Linked DNA regions of Mytilus edulis. The protein of the gene in region 2 purifies or fractionates together with the protein of the main gene of each other region. This does not show direct contact. Links are inferred from orthologs where the notes say so. Each region holds a gene or a part of one and is shown on either strand. Other genes may lie near its edges.

Region 1 (7,465 bases), on a different chromosome or scaffold from region 2:
ATACTAGTCCAGTGATAATGAACGCCATACTAATTTCCAAATTGTACACAAGAAACTAAAATTAAAATAATACAAGACTAACAAAGGCCAGAGGCTCCTGACTTGGGACAGGTGCAAAAATGCGGCGGGGTTAAACATGTTTGTGAGATCTCAACCCTCCCCCTATACCTCTAACCAATGTGGTAAAGTAAACGCATAACAATACGCACATTAAAATTCAGTTCAAGAGAAATCCGAGTCTGATGTCAGAAGATGTAACCAAAGAAAATAAACAAAATGACAAAAATACATAAATAACAACAGACTACTAGCAGTTAACTGACATGCCAGCTCCAGACTTCAATTAAACTGACTGAAAGATTATGATTTCATCATATGAACATCAGGCACAATCCTTCCCGTTAGGGGTTTAGTATCATACCATCATAACATATATGAGAAGAACATAACCCGTGTCATGCCAACAACTGTTTTTAAAAAAATAATGTGTTTAGTTCCGATGCAAAGACCTTATCAGTGACTCAATATTAACGCCAAAATATGCAATCTTTAATGACTTGACAACAGTATCGTAATTATATCCCTTCTTAATAAGTCTATTCAAAGGTTTTGTAAGTTTCTGAGGTGAATACTGACACCTTTGTGCTTTATAAAGAATATTACCATAAAAAATTGGATGTGAAATACCTGAACGTATTAGAAGTCTGCATGTTGAGCTATATTTACGAATGATGTCTTTATACCGATGATAAAATTTAGTAAATGTTTTGACTAGTTTGTGATATCGAAAACCCTGGTGTAATAATTTTTCAGTAATACATAAATTTCTCTCGTTAAAATCTAAAACATTGTTACATACACGAGCGAATCGTACAAGTTGAGATATATAAACACCGTAAGATGGTGACAAGGGAACGTCACCATCTAAAAACGGATAATTAACAATAGGAAATGAAAAATCATCCCTTTTATCATAAATTTTAGTATTCAGCTTTCCATTAGTGATATAGATATCAAGATCGAGAAAAGGGCAGTGGTCATTATTTATCAGATGTTATTTCGATGGGTCTTTGCTTATTTTTGTCATAAATTGTAACTCATAACAATACAAAAACAGGTCCGCAATAAGTGGTGCACAGTTAGTCCCCATTGGAATTCCGATAATCTGGGGCATAAAGGGAGGGTATCTGCATTCTTCCATGCAGATACCCTCCCTTTATGCCCCTCTTATTCACCCATATGTGCTAAAATTAAAATTTCAAGTGTTATTCTGGTATTTATGGTGTTAATTGGCCATTCGTATTAGCCATTATTTTGAGAACTCTAACTTAACTAAATAGAAATTCATGACATGAGTTCAACTTAATCTTTTACTTTACAACAGGATGATTTAGGGTTGGTGCTAAACAAATGGTTGAACTTCTTACTGTAAACAAACATATATTTTTAGCCTTATTGGTGGAGGAAGATGGTGTGACTAAAGTAGAAGAAATTCATCAGACATCACAGTACTAGCACAGGGGCTTGTTTAGTGGGTCAGACGAGGTTACCTCGTCTGACCAATTTTATATAGGATAGCGATCGCCATTGACAGTAAAACCTCGTCTGACCCACTAAACAAGCCCCTGTGGTACTAGATAATTTGGTATCCGGTCGTTCCGGCCCCAAACCGATCCGGCCCCAAGTCAATCCGGCCCAAAGTCGATCCGGCCCAAGTCGATCCGGCCCACGTCGATCCGTCCCCAAGTCGGTCCGGCCCCATGATAAAATATGAATTAACTATATTGTTTTTGGAGGAATTTGTCACAAATTTTAACAGTATAGATGGAATTTGAAAAATGTGTCCGATCGATGATGGATGACAACAGGTCAGTGAAGTATTGGAGTACCAGTTAAAGAACTATTTTAAATCGATACGAAAATGAGTGTTATTGTGTCCGTTTGTATCGCAGTTTCTACATTTTTAAATTATGAAGTTATTTTCCATGATAACTTTTACTTTGAATTTCATGGCGATTTTTTTTTATTCAGTTCACACACAGAATAGCTAAATAAATATTTTCCGTCCAATGGACCTATAAAATTTAACGCATCATTATGACTTTAATATTTAATCGAATCATTAGTCTATAATTGGTTTGTTTATTCAACAGTTGTCTGATGATTGTGAACTAAGGTAATGCCACTCGTAATCACTTAATTCAATCCAATGCTGATTTATTAATGTTCCGTAATATAATATCAGCACTCTTTTATAGAAACGATTCGGCAAATCAAACAACATTTCCTAATTTGAAAAAATTTATGAACTTAAGAAAAACAAAGTTAATATGTATCAGCTTGGGGATCGGCTTGTACCGTTCATGTATGTAACTATTTGTTATTACATGTTACACAAGATGAAACTTGTTAGGATCACAATTATAAGAAAATGCTAATTACTGCTGATTAATGTTGATGTCTAAATTCTTTTATATATGTTTTAATATAATTATAGCCAATAATCTTGAAAACTTGTAATAAAGACATAATCAACCTAGTTGTTTTATACTCATCTAAGGAAAATATTTTTCAAAGGCCTTTTTTAATTTGTTTACCGTACACCTTTAACATTATAATAATAATAATAAACATTTATGAATTACAATTAATATATATTTATTTTTATTCCTTAGAAATATTTTTTTTATTGGGGCCGGATCGACTTTACATATGGGCCGGATCGACGTGGGGCCGGATCGACGTGGGACGGATCGACTTGGGCCGGATCGACGTGGGGCCGGATCGACCCGAAAGCGATAATTTTAGTAAATATTGAATAATTTTGGACCTCTTTTGCAATATCGCCAACGACATAGTATTTGACGTCCTTGAATAGAGCCTCAGGTACGTTTACGGGCTTGTCCATGGATTCTGATCCTTCTAATTCTGTCATTTTCGTTCATTAATTTATTTGGGGCATTTCCCGCTGAATGTTTTTGCTCGCACAAAATAAAACATACAAATATCTTTTAAACGCTTATGACTATGATCATTTATTGTTACATTTACAAGCATTTCATGAACGTCGATCGAAAATCGATTTACGATTATTGTCGTAAATTAAATAATTTTTAATCAAAATTTATTATCAAAAGATATTCATTTAATCTTTAAACAATGTTTGTTCATTCATCAAATTAATTCAGAAGAAATTTCATTTATTTATTCATCAACACTTCAAAACGGAATTTACGATAATCGTAATCCTATTTTTATTGACCAAGAAATTTCCTGTCTAGTGTTTTAAACATCAAAATATGTCATAAATCAGGCAAAATGAATCATTTCTTTACATTCTAATTTGATTTTGTTCTACATATATCATCGATTAACAGTTCATCGGTAATTATATATCTATGTTGCATCAAATAACGTTGGTTTTTACGAATGTTTCATTGTTTACATTTGAAAAGACTTTGTTAAAACATGCATGTGATTTTTACAAATTAACCTTTACTTTAATTAATTGGCACTGGCTATGGTGACATCAAAATGTTACAATAATAAAAAAAGTTATATTTTACAGTCAGGAATTTTCAATGTACTCGTGGTAACTATCATTGTTCAAAATTAAGTGATCACACATTCACCAGTTGATTAATGTCGGCATAGTAAACAATCAAAGAATCGAAATTTTGAGTTGTTTTTTTTAGCTTGGGTGTTAAATTTATAAAAATTGGAATCATGATGGGCGAGTTATCACTTGCAAAATAGTTCTGTCACCGCCTAAGAAAAAAAAGCGTGTTGCTTCGTGCAAATACTAAGAGAAATGGGAGAATGATGTCAAGTACAGGGGCTGGTTGTCTAAATCAACGTTAGGATTGTCACATGCCTTTTGTAAAGTTTGCAACAGAGACTTTAAAGTTGACTACGGTGGCCTTAATGATGTCTTCAAACATTCTAGTACTGCTTGTGATATTGATCTATATAATATATGAGGGTTTGGATGGGGTTAAATGATTAAAGAATATAATGCCCTTAAAAAATGAAGATAAGGGAATAACGGGCAAAAAAAAATGAAAATTGGAGAAATACGTGGTCAAATTTTTTTGAAGATTAGAAAAGAAAGAGGTTAATTTTTTGAAGATTAGAGAAAAAAGGGGTGAAAACTAAATGTTTACAGAACAACAGACACTCCCCCCCCCCACCCCCCATTTCCAGACCCTCATATATTGTTGTTTTTTTTGTTATTAAATTATTAAAATTATTACTTTTTTTTTTATTTCTTGACAATGTATCAGACAAACATAAAGTCATCTTACTGGTGTTTATCTCAACAAAAAGAATACAACAATCAAACAATTTAAAAAAAGATAGGTTATAATAGCATCTTCAACTATCCCCCCCCCCCCCCCCCCAAAAAAAAAAGAAGTATGTCAGACACTTTTAGGAGCCAAATCATCACACGAAAAAATGCCGCGAAAAATTCTACCCTCAAAAATGGTGCCGCGCACAAAAACCCCCATGGCCATTTTCAAAAGTTGGCAGGTATGGGAGACGAAGTCTGAATGATTTTTTTTTTTTTTTTTCAAACATATTTTATTTCAAAACGGAAATACTGTAACGTTTGATTTTTGTTCATTTGTACAATGTTGTAAGGGATTTTAGTTGTGACGTTTATTTCAGTAATGACGTCATATGCAATGTAAACAAAGCAGGGGTGTGGAAACGCTATGCCTGACTCGCCCGACTCGTACATTTGAACAACTGGACAAGTAATTATTTTTGTCTTGGTTGCCCGTGGACAAGTAAAAAAAGACAAAAGTCAAATAACAAAAAAAAGACATAGAATTAATTTCAAAACGTATAAAGATGTTTAATTTATGTAAAAGAAACCAATAATCAGCAAGTAAAAACATCAATGTTCATGACGATAAATATTACATGATACCGGAAATAGATCGATTACCAAAATAAGTAAAAATAAGTAAAAATAAGTATGCGAACCCGAGTCGCATAACATTGCATTGGCTTTGTCCATTGACCCGGGATCGTCGATTAAGTTTGATCCATCATTTACCAGAAGTGATATTTCTTTAAATTTTGTATCGAGATTCAGATTGACAAATACTTAATAAAAAGCTGGGCAAGCAAGACAAATAGAATCATGAGTCGAGTAGAAAAACTTAAATGCAAACGGAGGAAAAAAAAAGGAAGCGAGAATTTCAGACTTCGTGGATATCAGATTGCCCCTGGCTATCTATGGAAATTCGGAAAATAAATTCAGTTTTTGTCTTATTTATAGATGAAAGGTCAACATTATTTGTAGTCAAACTGGTAAATAGAAGGGACGCTTTAATTGTACATCAAGACAATAATAAATAATCAAGAAAAAAACAAGCGTGTCAGTTGAGAGAAACACCACAAAATCAATAGTTGATCTATTATTTAGTTTACATTTCTTCAATCACTGTCCTCAAATTTAGTATATTGTGTACCTACTGGCTACAATTTTTATTCCCAAACTGCTGCAAAATTGTCCTTTACATGTCATTTCATTAGTTGGTTTGCTGTTAGGTGTCTGTCCCCTTGCTGTTAACCCATTTTCTACTTTCCTAATTTTTATGCCCCACCTACGATAGTAGAGGGGCATTATGTTTTCTGGTCTGTGCGTGTGTCCGTCTGTTCATCCGTCCGTCTGTCCGTTCGTCCGTCCGTCTATCCTGCTTCAGGTTAAAGTTTTTGGTCGAGGTAGTTTTTGATGAAGTTGAAGTCCAATCGACTTCAAACTTAGTACACATGTTCCCTATGATATGATCTTTCTAATTTTAATGCCAAATTAGAGATTTTACCCCAATTTCAAGGTCCACTGAACATAGAAAATGATAGTGCGAGTGGGGCATTCGTGTACTGAGGACACATTCTTGTTTACACATATAAACAAATGGATTTCATTTGTTTGTGATGCACAATAGTGCTAAGCATGCTAAGTAAGAAGCATATATTAGGTAACAAGAAATACTTCAATATTTATTAAGATCATCAGGGCAAATAAATTGTTTTCCGGACAAGTAAAATTTTTAGTTTTACTTGCCCAGGGACAAGTGCTCACAATAAATATTTCCACACCCCTGCAAAGAAACCCTATCATCAGGTAATGTTTTTTCATATCGTTGAATTATTTAAAATGAAATTGGTATTGCATTCCATCCTATATTCATGATATTATACTAGACTGATAAATATTTTACTCAAAGTTTCATGCAACGAAAAAAGGAAGTAGATGCAAGAATTATAAAGGTTAATACAAAAAAAATAACGATTTTGAGTTCATAAGTACAATGAAAATTCCCTTTTTTTTTTACTTTTTTTTTATTGATTTTTTTACTGTTCATCCCCTTATAAATTCTCGAAATTCATGAAAATACAATGTACAGGGAAGATTTTAAAAGTTAATGGCTTGATTTGGAATATTTTAAAACTGTTCATAATAATGATTCTCTTTGATTTTTAAAGCCCATAGCCATTATAAAAGTAATTGTTAAAAATTGTTTTGTTTAAGATTGTGGACAAAATTGCTCTTCCAACATTTCCATTTGGGAGCCTCAATGGGGGAAATCCCCAGCAAATAGTGACAATAGGGGGTCATACGACATGTATGATGTGATAATGTTAAATCAATCAAATGGTAAATAACTAATGACAAGGTGGGATAAAAAAATGTTGTGTGCCATCTTAAGGAGGTAGACCTAGGTTAAGGGAGATAACTCTTAAAATCATCAGTACGTTTGTGTCAGCCATTTTCATAAATATGTTTAAGCTTCTTGGATACATAGATTATTTCCAATCTGTTTCAGGTAAATGCTTCAAATTCATTGGCGAAACCTGAATTTTACAAACGCATAACTGATTTAAAGAGTTATCTCCCTGATCCAAGGTCTACCTCCTTAAAAACAGGTTATGGAGGTCCCTGACCAACCAATTGGATAAAAGAATGGTGAAGAAAAGGATACTTTCATGACATAAAATGACAATGGGTTTTCTTTTTTTTTTCTGTGTATATATTGTATAATTGTGCCACTACCATGACTACACATACAATGTACATGTACATGTACATTTATGGAAGTCTGACGGTATAATTAATTTTCTAATTCTCTATTCAGCAATAAAAATGTGTGCCTTGCCAGGAGCTCCTCCTGCTCCACCCCCGGGAAAGAGGAAAGAGATTTATAAGTATGATGCACCATGGACAGTATATAGTATGAACTGGAGCATAAGACCTGATAAAAGATTTCGCTTAGCTCTTGGTAGTTTTGTGGAGGAATATAACAACAAAGTAAGTGAATTTAAAAAGAAGAAAAATATTGTGTACTTTTTTTTTAACAAATGTATAGACAATATAGATGTCTAATGTTTTTACTTAGGATTCAAAATGTTTAGCAAAATGTATTTGACTAAGAGAGCAGTTTAATTTTGTTTA
Region 2 (7,304 bases):
TGCAAATGCTTTATATTTATTTATATTTAATTATATTTATTTGTATTTAATTATATTTTCATCACTTGGCGTCTATCATCATCATTGGCTTGGCAGTGTGCCTTATTATCATCAGCAGAACTTAGGGATACTTAACAGGGTTGTCTTTTTTAAAGCTTTATTGTCCAAACTTTAAAGGTGCTGGATAGCTCCATATTTGTATGAAGATGCCAAATGGTCTTTTTATTTGACTATTTACCCCATTTTCGTCGAGCCTGCAACTTTTGTTGCAGAAAGCTCGACATAGGGATAGTGATCCGGCGGCGGCGGCGTTAGCTAACTTCTTAAAAGCTTTATATTTTAGAAGGTGGAAGACCTGGATGCTTCATACTTTGTATATAGATGCCTCATGTTACGAAGTTTCCGTCAGTCACATGTCCAATGTCCTTGACCTCATTTTCATGGTTCAGTGACCACTTGAAAAAAAAGGTCAATTTTTTTGTAATGTTGAATTCTCTCTTATTATAAGTAATAGGATAACTATATTTGATATGTGCGTACCTTGCAAGGTCCTCATGTCTGTCAGACAGTTTTCACTTGACCTTGACCTCATTTCATGGATCAGTGAACAAGGTTAAGTCCATATCTCAGATACTATAAGCAATAGGGCTAGTATATTCAGTGTATGGAAGGACTGTAAGGTGTACATGTCCAACTGGCAGGTGTCATCTGACCTTGACCTCATTTTCATGGTTCAGTGGTTATAGTTAAATTTTTGTGTTTTGGTCTGTTTTTCTCATACTATATGCAATAGGTCTACTATATTTGTTGTATGGAACGATTGTAAGGTGTACATGTCTAGCGGGCAGATGTCATGTGACCTTGACCTTATTTTCATGGTTCAGTGGTCAAAGTTAAGTTTTTGAGTTTTGGTCTTTTTATCTAATACTATATGCCATAGGTCAACTATATTTGGTGTATGGAAATATTTTATAACCTTTATGTCAGTCGCACAGGTTTTATTTGACCGTGACCTCATTTTCACGGTTCATTGCACAGTGTTAAGTTTTTGTGTTTTGGTCTATTTTTCTTAAACTATAAGTAATAGGTCAACTATATATGTTGTATAGAAGCATTGTTAGCTGTACATGTCTGCCTGGCATGGTTCATCTGACCTTGACCTCATTTTCAAGGTTCATTGGTCTATGTTTAGTTATCTTGGTTAATGTTAAGTTTATGTGACAGTTGTTATAAAGCTTAGCTTTATACTAAGGACTATCAACATAATATCAATGATTAGTATAGAAGGCGAGACATTTCAGCGTGTGCACTCTTGTTATGTGTAATATGGACAACTATATTTGGTACAAATGTATATGGATTCATTGCTTGGTATACATATAAAAAAGAAGTGGTGTGATTCCTAATGAGACAACTCTTCACAAGAGATCAAATGACACAGACATTTACAACTAAAGAGTCTTTTATACAATAACATCAGTGTGTTCGCCTCAAGTTGGAACTCTGGCATGTTAAAACCTAAACGACTCAAAAATTGGTATTTGCTGCTGCTCTTCTTGTGGATTGCACAAAGCAGGGTTAATATTCATGTACCTGTCCTGAATATGCATTTAATTGCCACAGGACTTTTAACAGCTGTCCATCATTACCATCGCCTAGCCTTACAAAAGTCATGATTCAGTGATTAATGTTCAGTTTTGGGATTTATGTATTTGTTTCTCTGAAACTAAGTAATTCATTATGTTTATTCAATGAATAGAATAATTGTAAGGTTTACACGTCTGTCTAACAAGGTTCATCTGACCTTGACCTTATTTTCATGGATATTTTAGTCCATAGTTTTTTTTTTTGTTGAGCCTGCGACTTTTGTCACAGAAAGCTCGACATAGGGATAGTGATCCGGTGGCGGGAGCGGTGTTAGCTAACTTCTTAAAAGCTTTATATTTTTGTCGAGCCTTCGACTTTAGTCGAAAAAGCGAGACTAAGCGATCCTACATTCCGTCGTCGTCGGCGTCGTCGTCGGCGGCGTCCACAAATATTCACTCTGTGGTTAAAGTTTTTGAAATTTTAATAACTTTCTTAAACTATACTGAATTTCTACCAAACTTGGACAGAAGCTTGTTTATGATCATAAGAAAGTATCCAGAAGTAAATTTTGTAAAAATAAAATTCCATTTTTTCCGTATTTTACTTATAAATGGACTTAGTTTTTCTGCGAGGAAACATTACATTCACTCTGTGGTTAAAGTTTTTAAAATTTTAATAACTTTCATAAACTATCCTTGATTTATACCAAACTTGGACAGAAGCTTGTTTATGATCAAAAGATAGTATCAAGAAGAAAATTTTGTAAAAATAAATTTCCGCTTTTCCGTATTTTACTTATAAATGGACTTATTTTTTTGGCCAGAAACAAAACATTCACTCTGTGGTTTAAGTTTTTAAAATTTTTATAATGTTCTTAAACTATCCTGGATTTCTACCAAACTTAGACATAAGCTTGTTTCTGATCATAAGATATTATTCAGAAGTAAATTTTGTGAAAAAAAAAATCACTTTTTCCGTATTTCACTTATAAATGGACTTAGTTTTTCTTCCAGTTAACATTGCATACAGTCTGCAGTTAAAGTTTATAAAACATTTATTAGATTCATAAACTATCCTGGATTTTTTACCAAACTTGGAAGCTTCTTTCAATCAAACGACAGTATCGAGAGGGAAATTTTTATTGATGTTTTTCCTCATTTTTGTTGAGTCTGCAATTAACAGCAAAAGTAGGCGAGACATTGGGTTCCGTGGAACCCTTACGAATTTTAGAAGGTTGAAGACCTGGATGCTTCATACTTTGTTACATAGATGCCTCATGTTACGAAGTTTCTGTCAGTCACATGTCCAATGTCCTTGACTTCATTTTTCATGGTTCAGTGACTACTTGAAAAAAAAGTTAAGATTTTTTGTAATGTTAAATTCTCTCTTATTGTTAGTAATAGGATAACTATATTTGGTATGTGCCTACTTTGCAAGGTCCTCATGCCCGTCAGACAGTTTTCACTTGACCTCGACCTCATTTCATGGATCAGTGAACAAGGTTAAGTTTTGGTGGTCAAGTCCATTTCTTAGATATTATAAGCAATATATAGGTCTTGTATATTCGGTATATGGAAGGACTATATAAGGTTTACATGTCCAACTAGCAGGTGTCATCTGACCTTGACCTCATTTTCATGGTTCAGTGGTTATAGTTAAGTTTTTGTGTTTTGGTCTGTTTTACTTTAAACTGAGTAAGTTATTTATTTTAATTGTTGGCAATAGATAGGTGCGGCCTAAGAATTGCAACATTTGTGTACCTAGTCAAATAGTTCTAGAGTTTTCATTACACGCTGTTGTACATGTTAAATGTAGCTACAGGTATAAATGTTTTTTAATTTAATTATTGGCAATAGATAATTGGACATGTTGCCACATCGGTGTTCTTGAGGTTAGCTGTATCAGAGACATATAATAAAAGTCAGACAAATATTGGTCAGACGAAGAGATATATTATTTTGACTACAGAGCAGAAATGTCCGGAAGTCACGATCAAAACAGTATTAGAAAAACATTAAATCAATTGAGTCTGGTGAAGAGGAACCTTGAGGGATCCTGTACTGGAAATCAACTATTAGTAACTATAATAGTAATATAATACATTGTATTATATATGTCTCTGGTGAAATTAACATTTTTTCTAATGTTTGTGTAATTATACTTAAATAAAACATTCCGGTCGTCTTTTATTCCATAAGGCAGCAACCAATTTGATTTTCAGGGGGGGGGAATGGGTTTTTTTTCTGTACAAACTTTTTTTTTTCTGTGCAAACTTTTTTTTTTCGCCTATGGCGAAAAACAATCTATTTTTTTCGCGACAAGTCTAAAACAATTTTATTCTTTCAATTTTAGCATTACATATAGTGGCAGCTGAGGGTGAAACAAACAATTTTTTTTTCTCAGAATCAAAAACAAATTATTTTTTTCTCCAAAAACTGGAAACAAACTTTTTTTCCAAAAAAAAACCATACCCCCCCCCCCCCCCCCCAGAAAATCAAATGGTTGCTGCCTAATCAAATGATATTATAATTTTAATTAAAAACATAAAATTGATTAGATTTGAGACAAATTAAAAAAACGTTAAATCCCACCTAGGACTAAAGTAGGATTATGCCAAACAAAGCCCCAAAATCTCACTCCAATACAAATATTTTTTTATCCAATAGTTTTTTATAATTTATTATTTTTACAGGAAAAGTACATTTTAAAGGGAAGTAATACTGTTACCGAAGCTCTCCGTTATATTTTCGGCCATATTTTCATACGCTAATATCGCCCTTTCACATTTTGACCTTTTCGATAAAGATGTAAATGTGTGAAGTTTCATCCAGAAACGAATTCTCTCACGTTTATTTTGTTTAGAACTATCTATTTTTATGGTTAAAGTATTAAAAACAAACAAAAAATCGAAACTTTCTAAAACCGGAAGTAGGAACTATTTTTGTTTAACTATGAAAATGGATGCCAAAATGTATCAACAAAAGCCGTGAAAAGAAGCGATTGGATGTGCGGGTTTCTATCTTCAACGTAAATGACGCATTTACACTGAAGAAACATAATTTTGCAGGCACAATAACTTGTAGGTAATGCACCAAATTTTACATAAATAAAAGACTGGGCAAATCAATAAGTCCAGTACCGAACTGGTGCGAAGACGTTATTTAAAACTTAAAAATCCAATTTATTTCAGTTCTTGAAAAAATATGACTTGTTTGGCCACAGAAAGGCAGATCTCAGATGAAAGCTGTGCACCCCTTTTTAAGAAAAAACACTATATATATATATATTTATATATACAGGGTTCACATAATGACATTCATAATGCCATTAATGGTTTTTTATACACATACTGACGGTGTGAGGGGCAAGTTTGTTTTCCCTGGGATACCAACTATTGCACGAGGCCAAGCCAAGAGCAATATTTGGTATGCGAACGGACAACAAACTTGCTATTACCTGCACAACCAGTCATTAGGTGTTTTATTATACTGAACAACAGTAATTAAGTGTTTTTATATACCAAATTAACTAATTTTCTAAAAGTGTACATACATCATCTGATAGAAAAGAAAAAAATGTCGCATACCTTGACATGCACAAGATGAACTATATGTTGGTTTTTTTTTTATAGTTCTTCTTTTATTGGTAAATATTTCATTAATTGCAATCAAGACTAGAAATACTTGTGTTTAATTTTCCGTGCATGTGATAAATTTAAGCTAATTTAAAGTACACCAAACGCAAATCCACTTTTAGTATTACTCAATGCGACAACAGGCCTCGACAATATCGATTGTCCGGTACCAGAAGTAAAAAAGGTCGGACAAGTTAAAGCTATACCAAGCTTGCCCGATGGGACAAGTAGAATCATTCTGCAGAAAATAAATTTTAATCCAAATTTGATGAACAAAGTATAATTATTAACAAAAAAACAAGAAAAGAAGATTTGTTTGACATCTTTCCTTTTTAAACTGAAACTAACTTTTTATTTTTCAAGACCCCTCAGACTTGCAATCGATAATTTAAAACTGGTTCTTTGTTTTTTACCTGTTAAAAGTACTTGACACACTTTTCTCGGAAACCAGTCTTGACATCCCATTCAACCATGTGCTTTTTAGATAAGGTAACTTTAAAAGACAGTTCGTCACCAGCTCGGAAATGATTCGGCTCCAAGTTTAATAGACAGTTGGGCACTGTAGGAGACATATTTCATAGACATGATTAATAGACAGTTTGGCAAGGCAGTAGACATTTCTGGACTTAGACAAATCAGAACCTCTTTTCCTACCTTATTTTGTTGCTTTATAATAACTAATACCAATGTCCATACCATATTTTTTAAATAAAAATGAGGAAATTTATTGTTTACCATAAAAATCATCAAATCATGTTTGATTTTTATGTAGAAAAAATAATACTTACAATGCAGTGACCCATAGTTGTTAATTTCTGTGTCATTTGGTCTTTTGTCTCATTGACAATCATACCTCAAATTCTTTTTATTGATTGCATTTGAATAAACTTTTTTCAACTTTTAAAGAAATAGGATAAAAATCAAATGAGTGTACATTTAGAGGCCAATCAGATGGTGCCTCATGTGCAAAGTATGATGAGACTTTAGCATTGATAAAAACTGAAACCTAAGTCCTGTGACACAACTAAATTCAGTTGTTCATGGCTCATGTCTTTTAAAAGTATTTCAAAGGATATAAATCAAATTCTGTTCAATTTTTTTTTTATTCATTTTGTTCCTTGAATCAACTTGAAATGCAAAAAAGGTTATTATAAAGATTTTTTTTGGACAAGTTACAATTTCATTCGGACAAGTAAGTTTTGGTTTGTACTTGTCCTACTGGACAAGTTGGAAAAAAAAGTTTTTGTAGAGGCCTGGACAACCGAACCCATATTAAGAACTATAAAAAATGCACGCGAAGATTTTCTCTCTTTTATAATTGCTTCTTGTAAGTGAAATTACAATCGACACAAACAGATTATACCGTTAACAATACTAGAGTTTGACTTTGCCAAGCAAAATAGTCAATGACATCATTATTGTCCAATGAAAAATAAGCATGAAAAGTACAGGAAAGATGATTTATATGAAACTATTAACTGGGTAATAGTCTTTGAAACTATTGACTTGCAAATAGTCTGTGGAATGAAATAGCACAACTATTTCATTATTTTTTATTTAGAAAAAAATATACTGAGGTATAATAATAGATTATATTTGAAGCTGGATGTTGAACTTACAAATGTAAAAGTTAATTATCAAAAGTTTTGGTCTATACAAACCTGCCAACTGTCACTATTTGCGAGGGATTTCCCCCATGGAGTCTCCCAAATTGAAATTTTGAATGAGCAATTTTGTGCACAATTTTTAACAAAACAATTAATTTTACAATGACATGAGGCTTACATTAGTATGAAGAAGCCAAAAAACAACATTAAAATGTATCTAAAGGCCCCCTTGAAGGTTTTTTAGGACTATGACGGCCATCTTGCACGCAAAACCCATTTTGGCATTTTGAAAAGTTGGCAGGTATTTCTACATCATATTTCTGTCATAATAGTAAGAAAGGTGCTTCCATTGAACAACTTTTTCCTTCTTAATATTTGCAAGATAGTAAACTAAAGCAAATTTTAATTTAAACACATAATAGATAATAAACATTAAAAAAAAAATGTGCACATACTACAAACTTATAAATGGCAAT

What was found. Proteins that work in one complex are often made in the same cells at the same time.
Region 1: the proteins of histone-lysine N-methyltransferase 2C-like (region 2) and PAX-interacting protein 1-like purify together in Homo sapiens (affinity purification with mass spectrometry; 4 studies listed by BioGRID and IntAct, with this or other methods). This does not show direct contact. The link is inferred for Mytilus edulis from reciprocal best matches to the Homo sapiens genes KMT2C and PAXIP1.

Annotation. Positions count from the first base shown.
Region 1 is NC_092350.1:66,545,789-66,553,253, reverse strand, and holds the start of PAX-interacting protein 1-like, read right to left. Parts: upstream 3,025-7,465; 5' UTR 2,936-3,024; coding exon 2,831-2,935; intron 1-2,830. Other genes in the region: DDB1- and CUL4-associated factor 7, read left to right, coding at 7,157-7,321.
Region 2 is NC_092345.1:42,272,407-42,279,710, reverse strand, and holds the start of histone-lysine N-methyltransferase 2C-like, read left to right. Parts: upstream 1-4,286; 5' UTR 4,287-4,670; intron 4,671-7,304. UniProt on the Homo sapiens protein: Histone methyltransferase that catalyzes methyl group transfer from S-adenosyl-L-methionine to the epsilon-amino group of 'Lys-4' of histone H3 (H3K4).